Linked DNA regions of Drosophila melanogaster. The protein of the gene in region 2 interacts with the protein of the main gene of each other region in a pairwise test. Each region holds a gene or a part of one and is shown on either strand. Other genes may lie near its edges. The genes, in order: CG3625, CG5217, CG16852 and Nplp2.

Region 1 (4,745 bases), on a different chromosome or scaffold from region 2:
AGATGGCCTGTAGAATGACGTCCAAGAAGGTAAGGTACTTGAACTTGCCGCCCCACCGCGCCTTCAGTTCATCCTCGTCTAGCAAATCCGTGGGCCAATGCACCCGGAAGTAGTGAAAGTATATCCCATACGAAAACTGCGCTGCCGCCAGGAGATGGACCAGGAATCTCAGGTATTTGAAGGCACCGCTCGTATAGGCATCGTTGCAAGTGTTCAACTGGGCTTTAGTGGCCTCGACAGCTTCCTTGGCGGCGTTGAACTCGCGCACCTGCTTCTTGCTCTTGCCCATTTCCTCCAGAAAAGGTGCAAAGGGCACCGCACGCTGAGCAAAACAAAACAAATAAAGCTAGCCAACAGCTGATTAGGGCGCAACACACGTCGAGTTTCATTCCAGCAAGGAGGCGTTTTTAAGCTAGAACTAGCTTTTTAAAGCCAAATCGATATGATAGCGCCACTTGACGTTTCTCTGATCTTGAAAAGCAGTTTATTCCAAGCTTCCCACCTTAAAACAGTTTTCGCAGCTGATGAAGAGTTTAATCGCTTTATTATGGTACTAGAATTGAATAACAGTGGTATTCAAAGATGGCGTTGAATCAGTGTGCTTGATATGAGAAGTTTAATCGAGAAGGCATTTTTGTATTTTGGTTAGTCTAGTAAACTTATCGAAAGACGCGCGCGCTCAATGGAAACTACGGCTATAATTTCAGTTACAATGTATGCGTAATAAAAATATAATGAATATCATTAGCAAACGGGTTTCCATATTATGATTAAAGACTCCGAATTCAATATTACTGGAAAATATATTATCGAGTTGATGTTTCAAGTTTCGTTTATTATTTCTCACATATTTTGTACGCCTTCTTCAGTTAACTTTGCAGTACGATTTTACATACTTATGAAAAATTTCTTTGGCTGAGAAGATCGAACAATATGAGCAAAATGTATAATCGAGACCTGTCAATCACTATTTGTATTTTGTGGCTAATTAACGCAACTACATCGAACAGAAACGGGTCACAGCCTCCTAGTTGGATTTGCGCTTGGCCAACTTCACTTCCTTGGCCCAGACGGTATTGTTGAGGAACTCGCCCAGCAGGTAAAGTGACAGCGTGAATCCAACGACGGCCGCAAAAAACAGGATGCGTTGCGGAAGCTGGAGAACCTCGAGCACTGGATACACCCACACACCCGAGTAGTGCTTCACCACGTGAATCCAAACCAGGTAGGCGCCCATGAAAATGGCCAGTCCTGCGAGTCCTTGGCTTCGTTTTGGGTACGACCTGTACGAGATGAACAGCTCCAGGATGATGAAAACCACTATGTTGGTGTGCAGGACGTGGTTGAGCCAGCTGAAAGAGTCGAGCGAAGATATTATCAGAGTGTCATGAAAAAACAATGGGTGAAATCAAGACTTTTCAGACCACTTTTTTAATTTTATCCCTAAATATATTATGACGTACACATCTTTCAAGCTTTGTCGTAGCAAGCTATCTGAATAAATTAATTACTTTGAAAGTAAAACCAGAGCCCCAAAACGAGATTATAGGGTCTTAAGGTTTAGTGTCTAAGTAGCATTTTATGAAGATGGTTTATTACTGAAATGAAAGGAAAAACGTTGATCTAATTCCTTCAAATGTATGAGTACTTGTTAGGATATATATATAATTGAAAGATATAGTTCCAATTAAATCGAACTTAAAAAGCCTGGATATAAAGAAACACAATTAACACAATACCGTAAATAGGCATGTCAGTGGTATAGAAAATGGATATGGCTTGAATTAGACATGCTTAGAATGCTAATCTGGTCATGATTCAATTTGTTGAGCAGAATATGCCTTATGCCAGCCAGGCCACCTTGATATCACCAGCTTTCGAGGTCTTACCTGGGGAACACGGGGTCCAGAACCTTGGGGAAGACTAGCTCCCTGTCGATAGCGTACAGTGTCCAGAAGGTCACGCCCACATTGATAGCCACTGGAAAGGCCAATGTAGCCATCAGCCAGTCCTTGAACCTGCGAACCGCCGGAGGTTTCTTGGGTGTCAGCTCATTAGTGCCCACGAAATCGTTGACCAGCGATACAATATAGTACAGTGCCTGAATTATCTGTAAGTGCAAGAGCATTTGACGTGTGTGAGATAATGCGAAAGCGGCTAGATTTGAAGGGTTGCTTAAGTGAAGTGGAAGGAATTACAGTTAGCGAAAAAACGTTGCACAAGCATTTCCTGTACAATTTCAGCGACAATAGGAGGCGAGATGTGAGTTTGTTAGTAAAGCACTGAATTTGGAGGGATTCAATTAGTTGCTTTGCAGTGGAATGGTATATATATATATTTATTGTAAAAACTGCTTTAGCGAAAGTTCTCCATATAAGATCTTCAAAAAGCTCTAACTTTTATACACTGGAGACCTTGACAAATCCTCTTCATCACTCAAGAAAAGCCCATGATTCTAACTACTGTCCTATTCATTTTCTCTGTGTATCTTAATAGATGCGTGCGTACAAGTAACAATCGGAGTGAACTTTAAACCACGCTGCGTTCGTGATTCTAATGGGAGATGGATATTACCGCATCCAGGAACGTTAGGTATTTGAATTTGCCCCCCCAGGGATGATGGATCCTCATCTCTGGCTCGCTGGTGGGGAACTGCACGTAGTTGTAGTCGTAATAGATGCCGTAGCCAAATTGCACGACTGCCGTCAGGTGGAGCAGGGTCCTCAGAGCCCCGTAGACGCCCTGGTACACGGAGTTGCCTCGCACGGATGCCATTTTCCTGCTGCAGCTGCTCTGCTCTCGATTGATTTTTCACGGCACCAAAACACAAACAAACCGGTCTGGTCTGTCGCTCCGAAAGTACTACTGCTTGCGAGTCGGAACCACCCCAAAAAAAGGGGCGAGCGGTGGAACAGTGTGCCCGAGCCGAAGCAGGGCCGCAATACCAGGTGTTCGGATATACACATATATGTATGTACCCCCTTGTAGGGTTGTAAGCTACATCGAGATTTAATATGAGCTAAAGTTTTAACATTTTGATTGTGGGCTGAATACATCTGTGAAGATGTGGATTCATTTTAAATTGTGACTAGCTTTGTTGAATTTGTATGAATTTTTTGTTTTTAATTTATAAATTCGTGATGTAATTTTATGAAAATATTATTTTCTTCAAAACCATTCAGAAATTGATGTTGAAGTCAATTCTTTGACGATAATCATGAACGAAATCTAAAATATTCACTCTCGTCTACCGTATGAAGCCACATATCATTCAGGTTGTATCAAAATACATTGTTCTAGGCCAAAGGTATCTTTACTGACTACAAGCGATTAGATTTGAGTGTATGGGATCGAACTAGAACATCAGACCATTACAAATCAAAAACCAGTTATGCATCGCCTTCGTTTAACCGGTGTAGAGATTTTCGATATGAACGCATCGGCTTACCGCACAAATAAAAGTTAGGAACTTAAATTTTCCGCCGAAGGGCACCGTGTTGGGCATGTCGAGTGTGTGGAAGATGTACACGCCATAGTTGAACTGCAGCACGGCTGTAAAATGGAGGAGCAACTGCACCGCCTTGTTAAAACCCGGCGAAGTGGAACCTTTGCTAGTCGATTTTGACTTGGGCTTGGCCATGTTGAATCTCCTGGTGCCAGATATGTACTGATTGTGGAGTAGCCAGAGTCCAGTCACTAGCAGCAAGGAATATACGATTGCATACAGTAGTCACTCACTAAGCACACCTCCAAACAATCGTGAAACTCTTCAAAGTATTGCTACAACATGCTCGACTGTTCACTGTATGTATTTTCGCTTTCGCTTTGAAACTGATAAGGTGCGCTTATCACCCGCACTCTCAATCGCCGTAGTACAAAGTATTTCCACTTCAGAATGAATTGGCAGAAGCTAAAATGAAATCCGAAAGCGGTCGCTTAATCCGCATCGGTACGCCTCCGTCCCACGTCCCTAGATCCGTGCATATCTACGGATTCATATCCTATGGCAACTGGGGGAGGCACGTGCCTTCCCAAGCGTGTCTATGAATAGATACGGATACACATGAGCCACATTTATGAGCCGGGGGACAAAGGCTTCTGGAAATATCTTCGCAGCTAATGGCAACTATCGTTTCCCGGTCCCATCACCACCAATCCACCCCCTGTGAAGGTCAAGGAACAAGGCCATCGCGACAAAAGGCACCGCTAACTGAATTACCTGGTAAAATTATCAGGTGCTCTCTTGGTTCTTTGCCCTTTCGTTACACGCGATGCATCGATTGTGCGTTAGTAATTGATTCACTGAACAATAATATCCGAAAATATTCACGCAGATCCGCCTACAACTTGTAAATAGAGTTAATTACTGGACCATCTGCGCCCAGGAACATTTATAATGTAATCATAACAAATACTTTAATAAGCAGATCTATTAATATACATATATAGAACACACAATCTTAAAATTGTACATCAGATTATACGTGATGCTCCATTGGTGCTTTCGAATCAGGTTTCTATGTCTTATTTTTGAGAATCTTAATTAGATGGTCTCCTCGTCGGTGTCCGCCTCGCAGGTTTCCAAATTGATTTCCGTAAGCTCCTGTTCATCCACCACACTTCTGGCGTCCAGATCACCAGTCTCCATTTTGGGGACACTCAGGATTTCATCCTGCTCCTGCGACTCCTTGGCAGCCTCCTCCAAAGCTCCTCCCTGCTCAAACATCGGATTGTCAAAGGCTCGC
Region 2 (3,333 bases):
GCAGGGCAAACAAGTTGAATGGCATCCAGAGATGGGCAGGGAAAGGGATTGTGTACTGCCAACAGCAGTTTGATTGTTATTGCCAATGAATGAATGCACTTGCTCCGAGGATTTGTCTGCCAGACGACCAACTTATGAGTTTCCATCTACAACTCCGGTCCAAGAGATGCGGCTCCTGCTCCAGCTTCGTTTGCCCCGAGGGTTGTGGCAACACATTTTGCGGTCTGCAGTTGCAGCTTCTGCTGTTTCTGCCGCTGCTGATGCCATTGTTCCCACTGCCCCACCGCAACACTGCACCACAGTTGGATCCCTGCGCCGCCACCAACTCCCATCCAGCGCGATGGTGTTGCTCCTGCGTAAGCCTGCAGGGGGTGTTTATGCTGTTTGTTGTTTGTTATTTGCCGTTTCGCAACTGTGTGTTGGCAATGAATTGGCTGCAAACAACATTTCCGTTTTGGCCATTATATGGCGCCCACTCTACAAATGGGCGAGCATAATAGCCGGAGGGGGAGGTGGTGCAGTTGGGGTTAGCTCCCCGTCGCCGCTGACATTTTCACACTTTTCAGCGGAGTGGGTGAGCAGCTGTTGGCGGCGGGCAAAAGGATTGCCTTGCATTATCCTTGTTCATTTCCCTTATACTTTTATTACTGATGATTTATTGATGTCCCTTTGTTGTTGGCGGCGTGGGGTTTTTTCATTAACTTTTTATCAAAGATCGGGGGTTGGACATAAATAAATGAAGGACACGAGCAATCACTTCAAGGGTTATGAAAACTGCCAAATTAAAGGGCAAACATATGAAGTATCTACTACCGTTAAACAAGATACATGTATAATGTTTTAAACGTTGTTTTCATTCACCATTCGTTGGTCTTCTTCTGATGCACGGTATTGCACTCTTATAGTAAGTAATTGATGAATTTTAATGGCTTTCAAATTGGTACGATAATGTATATCTGTTTTTCAGAATTTCAACACCTTCGCCAGACAATAGCATGCTGCAAGTGCCGCAGCAATTGTCCATTGTTTCGGGTATCCTGGCCAACCAACCGGCAATACATAACTACATAAATTAACGGACCTCGATTCCAGGACCAGGACCACGGAAAGGGATCGGGCCAGAGACGTAGGGATGGCGCAGTGTCGACAGCAGGAATCGCCACCAGCTCTTCAATTGATTTTGCGAAAGCACTTTGTTGGTGGGCCCCATCTCAGAAACGGAACACTGCAGCACTAACTGGACAGCGGACGGCGGACAACGGACGACGGACTTCGAAGTTCGAACATTTGAGACAATGGGGCAGCAGCAGCAGTAGCATAACAAGGGGTATTGTGTGCACGTATTGAATGAATTGCCTTTGGCTTTCATTTCAGCTCTTTTTTCTGGGGCTGCAGGCTTCAGTCCAGTTTGGCTTTGTCCTGGCCGGGAAACAGTTCGATTGCGGGAGAAAATGAAATCAAAGTCGTATCAATTTGAAACCTGTTTCGATGTCGTTGTTAACACATGTTAACCAAACGTAGCCAAATTGCCAAGGAAAATGCAAAAAAACGTGGCAGCAGAAATCGAAATTGATATTGTTTTTATCTACATGAGTTGTTAAAATTACAATATATATGTAAAGTACCAATCTCAAACTTATAAGGCTGTAAAATCCTTTTTAAACTCACTTAACTGAATTCTACTTTTCATAAAAGGTGACAAGAACTAGTTGACTCTGGATTTTCTGACACTTTGCATCTGGTGTTCAATTCAACAACACCAGTCACATTAATCTTATATTTCGTACAAAACCGAGCCATATTTTATTGTAAATAAAATTCGATAAAATTTCGGTGGACATATTGGACGAAGATGTCCAGTCTGCAAGATATTCCGCTTGCCGACCCCGAGGGCCTGTCTGTGGAAGGTCCCGAGGTGGCCCCCGCTCCAAAGTCCAATTCCTTGAAGCGCTTCTTTAAGATCAGCAAGAAGCCAATGATGCGCGACCAAGTGGAGGATGACGACGAGACATCCTCCCAGGACAACAAGGACCTGGGAAAGTCAAACACTATAAGTCGCTTCTTTACCCGGATGAAGGGAGCCAATAAGGGTAAGCTCTTTTGACTGGTATTAAATATGATTTGTTGAAAAAAAAATGATTGCCTAATGACTTACAATTAAAAGGAGCTCTTCTTGAATAATCATAAACCCCACTTGCCAGATGTTCAAGATCCTTCGAGCTCGGTGGTCGAACCCGTGGAGCAGGATAAGCCGTTGCCGAATGCAAAGCCCACGATTAAGACATCCATTTCATCCTACTGGAAGATACTGTTCAACCGGCAGAAGAGCCAGCGCCAAAACGCAGCTTTAGGGCAGACCAATGCCAATAAAGAGGATAACGAGTCTGAAGAAGTCCATGAACTGCAACCAGTAAGCCAAGATCCCGATACCGATCCTCAGCCGACAGTCAAGGATGAGCACGATGAAATGGAACGTGGCACAGATCCGGAGCCACCCAACCCGAAGCCCAACAAAAGTGTTGCCAGCAAGGCATCCGGTCAGGAGATTGTCAGTGCCTTAGAGGGCGGCCAGCTGTCTACCAATGATCACGAGAATGCGGCTTCCATTTAGCCGTCTTCAACTAACACTAATCAAACCCGATGTCTAGTATCTCTACCGATCTCGAGGCAAAGGTTTAGAAATCAGTTAGGGAGCTGATTCAACCTTACACAATATATACTCTTCAAACACATCCCTGCTAACTGACATACATACAAGAACAAACATTTTCGCTTTGATTCCACAAATGATAATTCCGAGCTCACGAAATAAACACATACAAGACCCCAGTATGTTGTCATGTCATCCTTTGTGGTAAATCCATCCGTTTTTGTTCGTCTAAGGGGTCACAGAGTTCAGTTAAATCGGTTGTTAAAACGTCTTCACTGGGGGGTTTTGATTACCTAAACGAGTTTCATGTTTTGCGTTGCAAACAGTGGGGTTAAAAGGTGCCGCATGAGCCAGACAAGCCCGAGAATTATTTGAGGTTTTCACTTTCGAGGGAAGCCCTAAAGATGAGCCACCCCCAAAAGTTGGCTAACTAAATCACGTAATGAGTATTTAATTGTTGGAAGGTGTGCTATTAAGGAATAAGGGTGCAGAAAGTTTTATTTTAAACTTTATTTCAGTATCAGTATACCAGTGCAAATTTCTTGGCTCAGTTCCAAAGAGGTAGATATAGATATATCTCAAGAATGAGTAGTTTTCTTATCTCGTGTCAGTACTTTGGAAAATCTGAAACACACCAGTTGCATATCAGGATAAACAGCTGGGCGATGTTTACCAACATTGAG
Region 3 (2,986 bases), on a different chromosome or scaffold from region 2:
TGTTTAAATCCATTATATGAGACGGACAGCACGATCGATTTGCGTGCCCCTCGGTGCCGCCTCAAAGTAGGCAACACAAATAAAGCTTAACATCATGCCGCCGAAGGGGCGAATTGGGAGCTGCGAGCTGGCGGATAAAGGATGGTGGCCACTCAATCCCAGTTGTTCTGCTTCAACACTTTCGCACAAACACCAATCAACTGGCAGATGAATCAAGCGCAGGCGTTGGCTGCCCAGTTAAGCCCACTCCGTAGCACCCACAGTCCACACAGCCCACGTAAACACCATGCCCCCCATCTTCCCGCGCCCTGAATTCAATTTTTTGGACAGGCGACAAAACTGCGCCACAAAGGGGGAAAAGCGGAAGCAGCGGCAAAGCAGGGAGATGCAGTCCATGGCAACAGCATCATCCAAAGGCAAACACACTGGCCGGCACATGCGAGTGGAAAATCAATAACGTGTACGTTTATCTTATTTTCTCGTCGCAGCGTCTGCTGTCGTTTCATTCCCCTTCTTTCAAATATATATAAATATAAATCTTCGGCGCACTTAAGCCTTTTAAATGATAACAATGGCCGGACCAAAAGAACCATTCCTTCCACCTCTGTTCCCTCAACAAGCCAACGAATAAAAAACACGACCACTGAGTAGCAGGTGCGCACTGGACACCAAAGGACTTACTCTACTATAGGACAGCAACGAGAAAAGTTCCACATCCAAGCCCCTTGGATTTTGATTTCCACACTGCAAATGTGCGTACTTGCTTGCCACATGCCACATGTATGTACGTAGCACCCGGACAAGTCGAGATATTCCATGAATTTATTATGTCCCCTCTGCTTTAATAGAGTTTCATCGAAAAGTTTCCCTCGAACAAATTATGAAATATACGGAGACAGCTTTTTGCCATTGAACGGAAATTGTGGTTTAAATCTGGGGGATGAATTTTGATCTAAAGCGAATGTGCACAAAAAAATATATCAGATAATAAAATGGCAGTTTATGTGTGGCCTGAAGCAAAAGTTTTTATCTTATTTTATTTATTGTGTTGGTATATTAAAGTAGTTGTTTGATCTTAAATTTCGGGGTAAATGTTTTTGACCTTGCAACTTCCAATAATTATTAAAATAATTACATATTTAGACGGTTCTTTTTTTGAAAGTCTTTTGAAAGTAAATTCACCAGGCAAGTGAAATCTCAGTTAAGGAGCTACCCTATATTTTGCTTTGGTTCCTAAAATGCACTTATGCAAAATAACATTAGTGCAGTAGACCGTCATAATTGTCATATTAGACAGGAAAATCCATAGACGACAGTCGACCCTGAAGTGTCGATGGACAGCAGCTTCTGGTTTTGCCCGGCCAGACAGGAAAGGAAATTGCTTAATTTAGCGCAAAAATTATCCACTGGCCAACGAGGCTCAATTGCCGGTCTGCCATGGTCGTTTGAGGCAGATGATAAAGCAACCCTTTGCTACGAATTTTTAGCCAGACTGATTTTAAATGACAGAAATGGTAGAAAATAAATTTAACTCACACTCATGATTTTCACACGAAAAACATATTGAATCACAAAGGCAAGGAGCGACTAGAAGAACTCTACATGCTTAGTTCAAAAAGTGACACTTCTGGAGACGATATCTCTATAACTGCACAAGCAGAAAAAAGAGTGGATGATAGCATCAGAGCGCCATCTATTGGCTGGAATGCTGAGCACAAAGATGTTCAGATTCCAAGGGACCAACTAACCCACAGGCAGATCAGCAAGTGCAATTTGTTTGAGGAATACATCAAGCTCCCAAAGAGTGAATATGGACAAACAAGCCGCATGAAGCGATTCCGATCCGAAGAGTTAGCTATTAAGCAAGGTAAGATAAATGTATAATTCCGTTCTTATTGAAGGGCTAACAGCCTTTGATATCTTAACAGAAGATCAAATCGTGGAGCATAGATCATCGAGTCTTTCGCGGCTATCGGATGTCACAATCAAGCCCACCTGCGAGGTGAGTAGTCAGACTTCGTGGACAGCAGCGGACGAGAGTAATATGAATAGCAAGGATTTGGAGGCGAAGCTGGCGGCTGTACGCGGCGGTGGTATCGATCTCGAAACGGACAAGCCCAGCAAGATCCAGCAGCACACGATCCACATCGAGGTGGAGTCGGTGACATCGGCCACGGCTATGCAAAGACCCCCACTGCACCAAAGGATGTGGCAGGTCCTTGTGCAGACGGCGGATACGATTGTCGCATTCGCCTCTATAATCGGCGAGAATTTAACAGTGGCACTCTTCATTGTCCTGTGCCTGTGGTGCCTTTACCTCTTACTAAGCCACTTTTATGGCAACTTGCAGACCAATGTCGGCATGCCGTCCAAATAATTGTAATAAGAATGATTCGTTTTGCACGTGATTGTATGAGTAAAAATGCAGTAAACAGAATTAGCAGAACAGAGTTCCAACCAGCATTGCGCATTCTAATTTATCTCAACATATTGGGTGTGCAACAACACATGATGGCGAGACTACAATATAGTGCCGAAGCGAAATCGGTTAGCATATAGCAAAAACGATCGGCCAGCGGTGGTCGACCTAGTGCATTTGGAATCTGCATGGAAACGGCATCGATGAATATCGTGTGACGTGTCGATTCGCAGGGTGCCAAAGCCGGGGCAAAGTCCACAGGACAAACTCTAATGCGCCGGCGCGGCTGTTCCGTCTGCACGCCGATCGAGTGGATGTCCTTGAGCACATCGCTATCCTTCTTCCTGAAGATCTCAACATCGTCTTCCGAATTTTCTGCGGGTTGATACAGTTATAGTAACTATACTAAATAAATGCGGGTGACATCTGGTTTCACCAAAATGAAACTGTTTATGGATTTATGACAGTAGTGTTATTTTTCAGAGTTTTCAAGGACAACTCCAAGAGACAGTTCCTATCTTTTTTTTATAGATTGGTTTATGCATTATTTTGATATTTTTTACCTTC
Region 4 (3,121 bases), on a different chromosome or scaffold from region 2:
TGAAGTTAGATTGGGCGATCGGAGGGGATTCCCCGAGATGCGATGCCGTACAAATGCCAATACATTATTCATGGTTTCGAAAGCCCTCACATTTCGTCCTCCATTCCCCGAGTTGGCTGCGCCAAACAGGTGTGCAAAATAGCTGACAAATATTTCACGCGTGCTACCGTTTCAAAGCCAGTTGTTCTTACGAAACTCAAATCATGGCAATAATTTTTGATTTTCTGCAATTTTCTTCGAAGAAGAGCGAGATCAGCACTCTTCAGCATCTAAAATCTTTAATAACACAGTGAAAACGGTATAGAAAAGTTCCATAACTTAGCTTGTAGGAAGTGCAATTAACCATTTTCGGTGGCCGTACTAATAAAAATTGGCATAATTATAATAATTTTATCCTAACCAAGTCAAATTCATGCGTGGAAGCATATTTTCTCAGAATAAAAGAAATATAAATAAAAAAATCATCTTTCAATCTAAACATCTCAATTTTACCAATTTTAAGGTAATAAAATAGCTATTCTAGAAAGTGGAATGGAAAAATTTTTTAAAGTAATAGGCAAATATATGTTTTTGTGCTAAAAACAATTAACGTTTTAATTTCATTTTTTAGTTTTCATGTATGTAACAACTAAAGTTAAAGTTAAAACATTTATTGGAGTCGTTTTCAATGTAATGATATATGGCCATCCAACAACGTCTTAGGTGGATGCGGCTGGTGCCTGAAGAAATGTTTCGTTAAGTTTTTGCAGACCCTCCTGCACGGTATTTAATCCATCCTTGAAGAGACCCTACACAGAGAGAAAAGTTGTTAGTTAGAAATTCGTAAATACTTTATGGAAAATACGTATGTAGTGGATAGAATGAGTTTTAAGCGTCTCCACGAAAAATGACTATTAATTACTTAGAACTCGCTTTATTTTTGATATGATTGCTTTATAATTACCTCAACCTTCTTCGCGTCCAACGCCTTCAACTTTTCAATGAATTCGTTGAAATCACCCTGGGCCTTGGTAAGAAATTCTTGGGCAGGATTGGATTCCTCACGGGGGACGCGGGCGGACAGAGCCAACTGAAATCAAAGTGCCACATTGTAGTTTATCTCTGAAAATAGGTCCTGCATCTGTGTGCCAGGACTTTGAGCATTTTACTTACGGCGAACAGGGCGAACACGAGGATGCAAATTGCGAGCTTGGCCATTTTTGTGTTGGTTTTTTGTAACTGCTGCGGAACTCTGAACTAGAGAACGATGACTTGAGTACTGATTGAACCTCTGCCAAACTACTCATAACGACACCTCGTTTTGCGCCGCAGCCGGCCGAATTTGAGACCGGCTTATCGGCACTAGGAAGGCCGAGCGTTTAGAGCTACGGAGCTGACCCGTGATAAGCGTACTTTTTTCCGTAGCATGCTGGAATAGATTGCTTCGCATAACAGCTGAGCGTTTGCTTGGCTCAAGAATGTCTACATTTGTTTAGTCACAGAAGATAACCGCTTTATGCAACCGCCAAATAGTTAATCTCTGTAGGACTTAATGGTATTGCCCTATCCTCGAATCCAGTATTCTAGCACTTGGCCCGTAACAAAGATTTAAATATATAATTTAAGAATATTTTTAATTTGAATTTCAACAAGAAATAATTATGGAATTACCACTGTATAAATTTGGAATATACATATCCTACAATGTGTGCTTATCATTTCAATGGCTCGCATAGCTAAGCTGTTCTGAAGGCCTTTCGATCCAGCAATCGGAATTGTTTATCTACTTTTATTTGTTTTTTTCATTAAAGACCAAATATTTTAATATTTCTGTAAGCATTTTTTTTAGTTAAATATATATTTATATATAGTTAAAGTGAAGAGATAACGCTATAGTCGACTTTCTGTACGAGTAACAGGTATATAGTCAATTTTATTTTATACTATAATTTCCATTTTACCGGCTATCAATGCAAAGCACGTGGCACGTGATAAGGTTTTTTTTAAATGCTTTTGATAAGGCGCCCTACATTCGAAATTATGTAATTGCGCAAAATAAATATTTATAATACCGAGTATTAGAAAATTTGACGAAGCAACCCGGAAATTTCCAACGCGAAGCTAAGTTGGAGAAATGCAAATGCGATTGGACTTGGGCAAACCAAACAACGCTTTCAGAATATTTAGACAGAGCTACTCTTGTAGACTTTGGATATCAAAAACGTAAATTTAGCATGGTGAACTCATCTTAAAAGGCGAATAGAAATAACGAAACACTATTATCAACATAGATGCTGCGGTAAAAAAACTGAACTAACAAAAATAGTGTATTCTGTAGCTCACCTCCAGGGGTTAAAGTAATTTAAATGATGAATTCGCATATTTAGTAAAGAAATTACAGTTCTCTGGTTTTGAAAGCTGAATAGATAAGGGCTTACTGCTCGGAGTAAATCCGAAGATTACGTAATGGTTAAAAGAGGTAATAATAATTAGAATAATAGTCGTGTATTGCCGTATTTTTAGCGTAATCACGATATGATAGCCATATAAAGTGACAATCGGGGTTTTTTATTTGTATTATATTGCAACAGTTTGATCTCTCGGATCAACTCTCGTGTCTTCAAGGGCAATTCATTAAAACAATAAATGTGAAGTGCGATGCTGAAGGGTTTCCCCCAACTTAAGCCCCAAAAGTAGTTAGTCAAGAGTAGAGTTTGTTTCGGGAGCAACGAACTAAACAGCAAACAGAGCTCAAAGTGCACGACTTTATGCCTCGTTTTCGTAATTTTCCCCAGACACAAACAAACCCAATTAAGTGGCAGCACGAGTCAGAAGACCCAGACCAGATACCCAGAACCACTAATAAATTTTCATTTGGCGGAATGAAAATATTTAATTGCAATTTCGCCAAGTGGCTAAAACTTAGCCCCACGGTCTGGTCTGTTGGTTGGTCGGGTTGAAGTTCTCCTAGGGCACCGAACTGAGGATATGCTCCGGCACTGGCGGATGACATTGGGGCAGGGGTGGACCCAACGTGGGGTAGGTTCGCAGACGGAGCAGCTCCAGAATCGTCTGCAGTTCCAGCACATGGGCGTAGTTGCGGCGGACATTCTCCATGAGCTGCCGATGGGTCTTAATCTGC

What was found.
Region 1: the proteins of CG5217 (region 2) and CG3625 interact in a two-hybrid assay, tested with the Drosophila melanogaster proteins (one large-scale study listed by BioGRID).
Region 3: the proteins of CG5217 (region 2) and CG16852 interact in a two-hybrid assay, tested with the Drosophila melanogaster proteins (one large-scale study listed by BioGRID).
Region 4: the proteins of CG5217 (region 2) and Nplp2 interact in a two-hybrid assay, tested with the Drosophila melanogaster proteins (one large-scale study listed by BioGRID).

The regions. Positions count from the first base shown.
Region 1 is NT_033779.5:282,859-287,603, forward strand, and holds CG3625 (uncharacterized protein), read right to left. Parts: upstream 2,869-4,745; 5' UTR 2,776-2,868; coding exon 2,575-2,775; intron 2,111-2,574; coding exon 1,890-2,110; intron 1,398-1,889; exon of another isoform or gene 1,353-1,397; coding exon 1,028-1,352; 3' UTR 527-1,027; downstream 1-526. Other genes in the region: CG11601 (uncharacterized protein), read right to left, coding at 1-289; amnionless, read right to left, coding at 4,544-4,745.
Region 2 is NT_033777.3:19,246,547-19,249,879, reverse strand, and holds CG5217 (uncharacterized protein), read left to right. Parts: upstream 1-1,743; 5' UTR 1,744-1,852; coding exon 1,853-2,090; intron 2,091-2,201; coding exon 2,202-2,611; 3' UTR 2,612-2,828; downstream 2,829-3,333.
Region 3 is NT_033779.5:13,539,198-13,542,183, forward strand, and holds CG16852 (uncharacterized protein), read left to right. Parts: upstream 1-1,553; 5' UTR 1,554-1,602; coding exon 1,603-1,867; intron 1,868-1,928; coding exon 1,929-2,377; 3' UTR 2,378-2,449; downstream 2,450-2,986. Other genes in the region: CG9263 (uncharacterized protein), read right to left, coding at 2,478-2,794, 2,983-2,986.
Region 4 is NT_037436.4:13,354,675-13,357,795, reverse strand, and holds Nplp2 (Neuropeptide-like precursor 2), read right to left. Parts: upstream 1,421-3,121; 5' UTR 1,198-1,420; coding exon 1,153-1,197; intron 1,070-1,152; coding exon 944-1,069; intron 789-943; coding exon 699-788; coding exon of another isoform or gene 600-698; 3' UTR 573-599; downstream 1-572. Other genes in the region: CG17687 (uncharacterized protein), read right to left, coding at 2,947-3,121.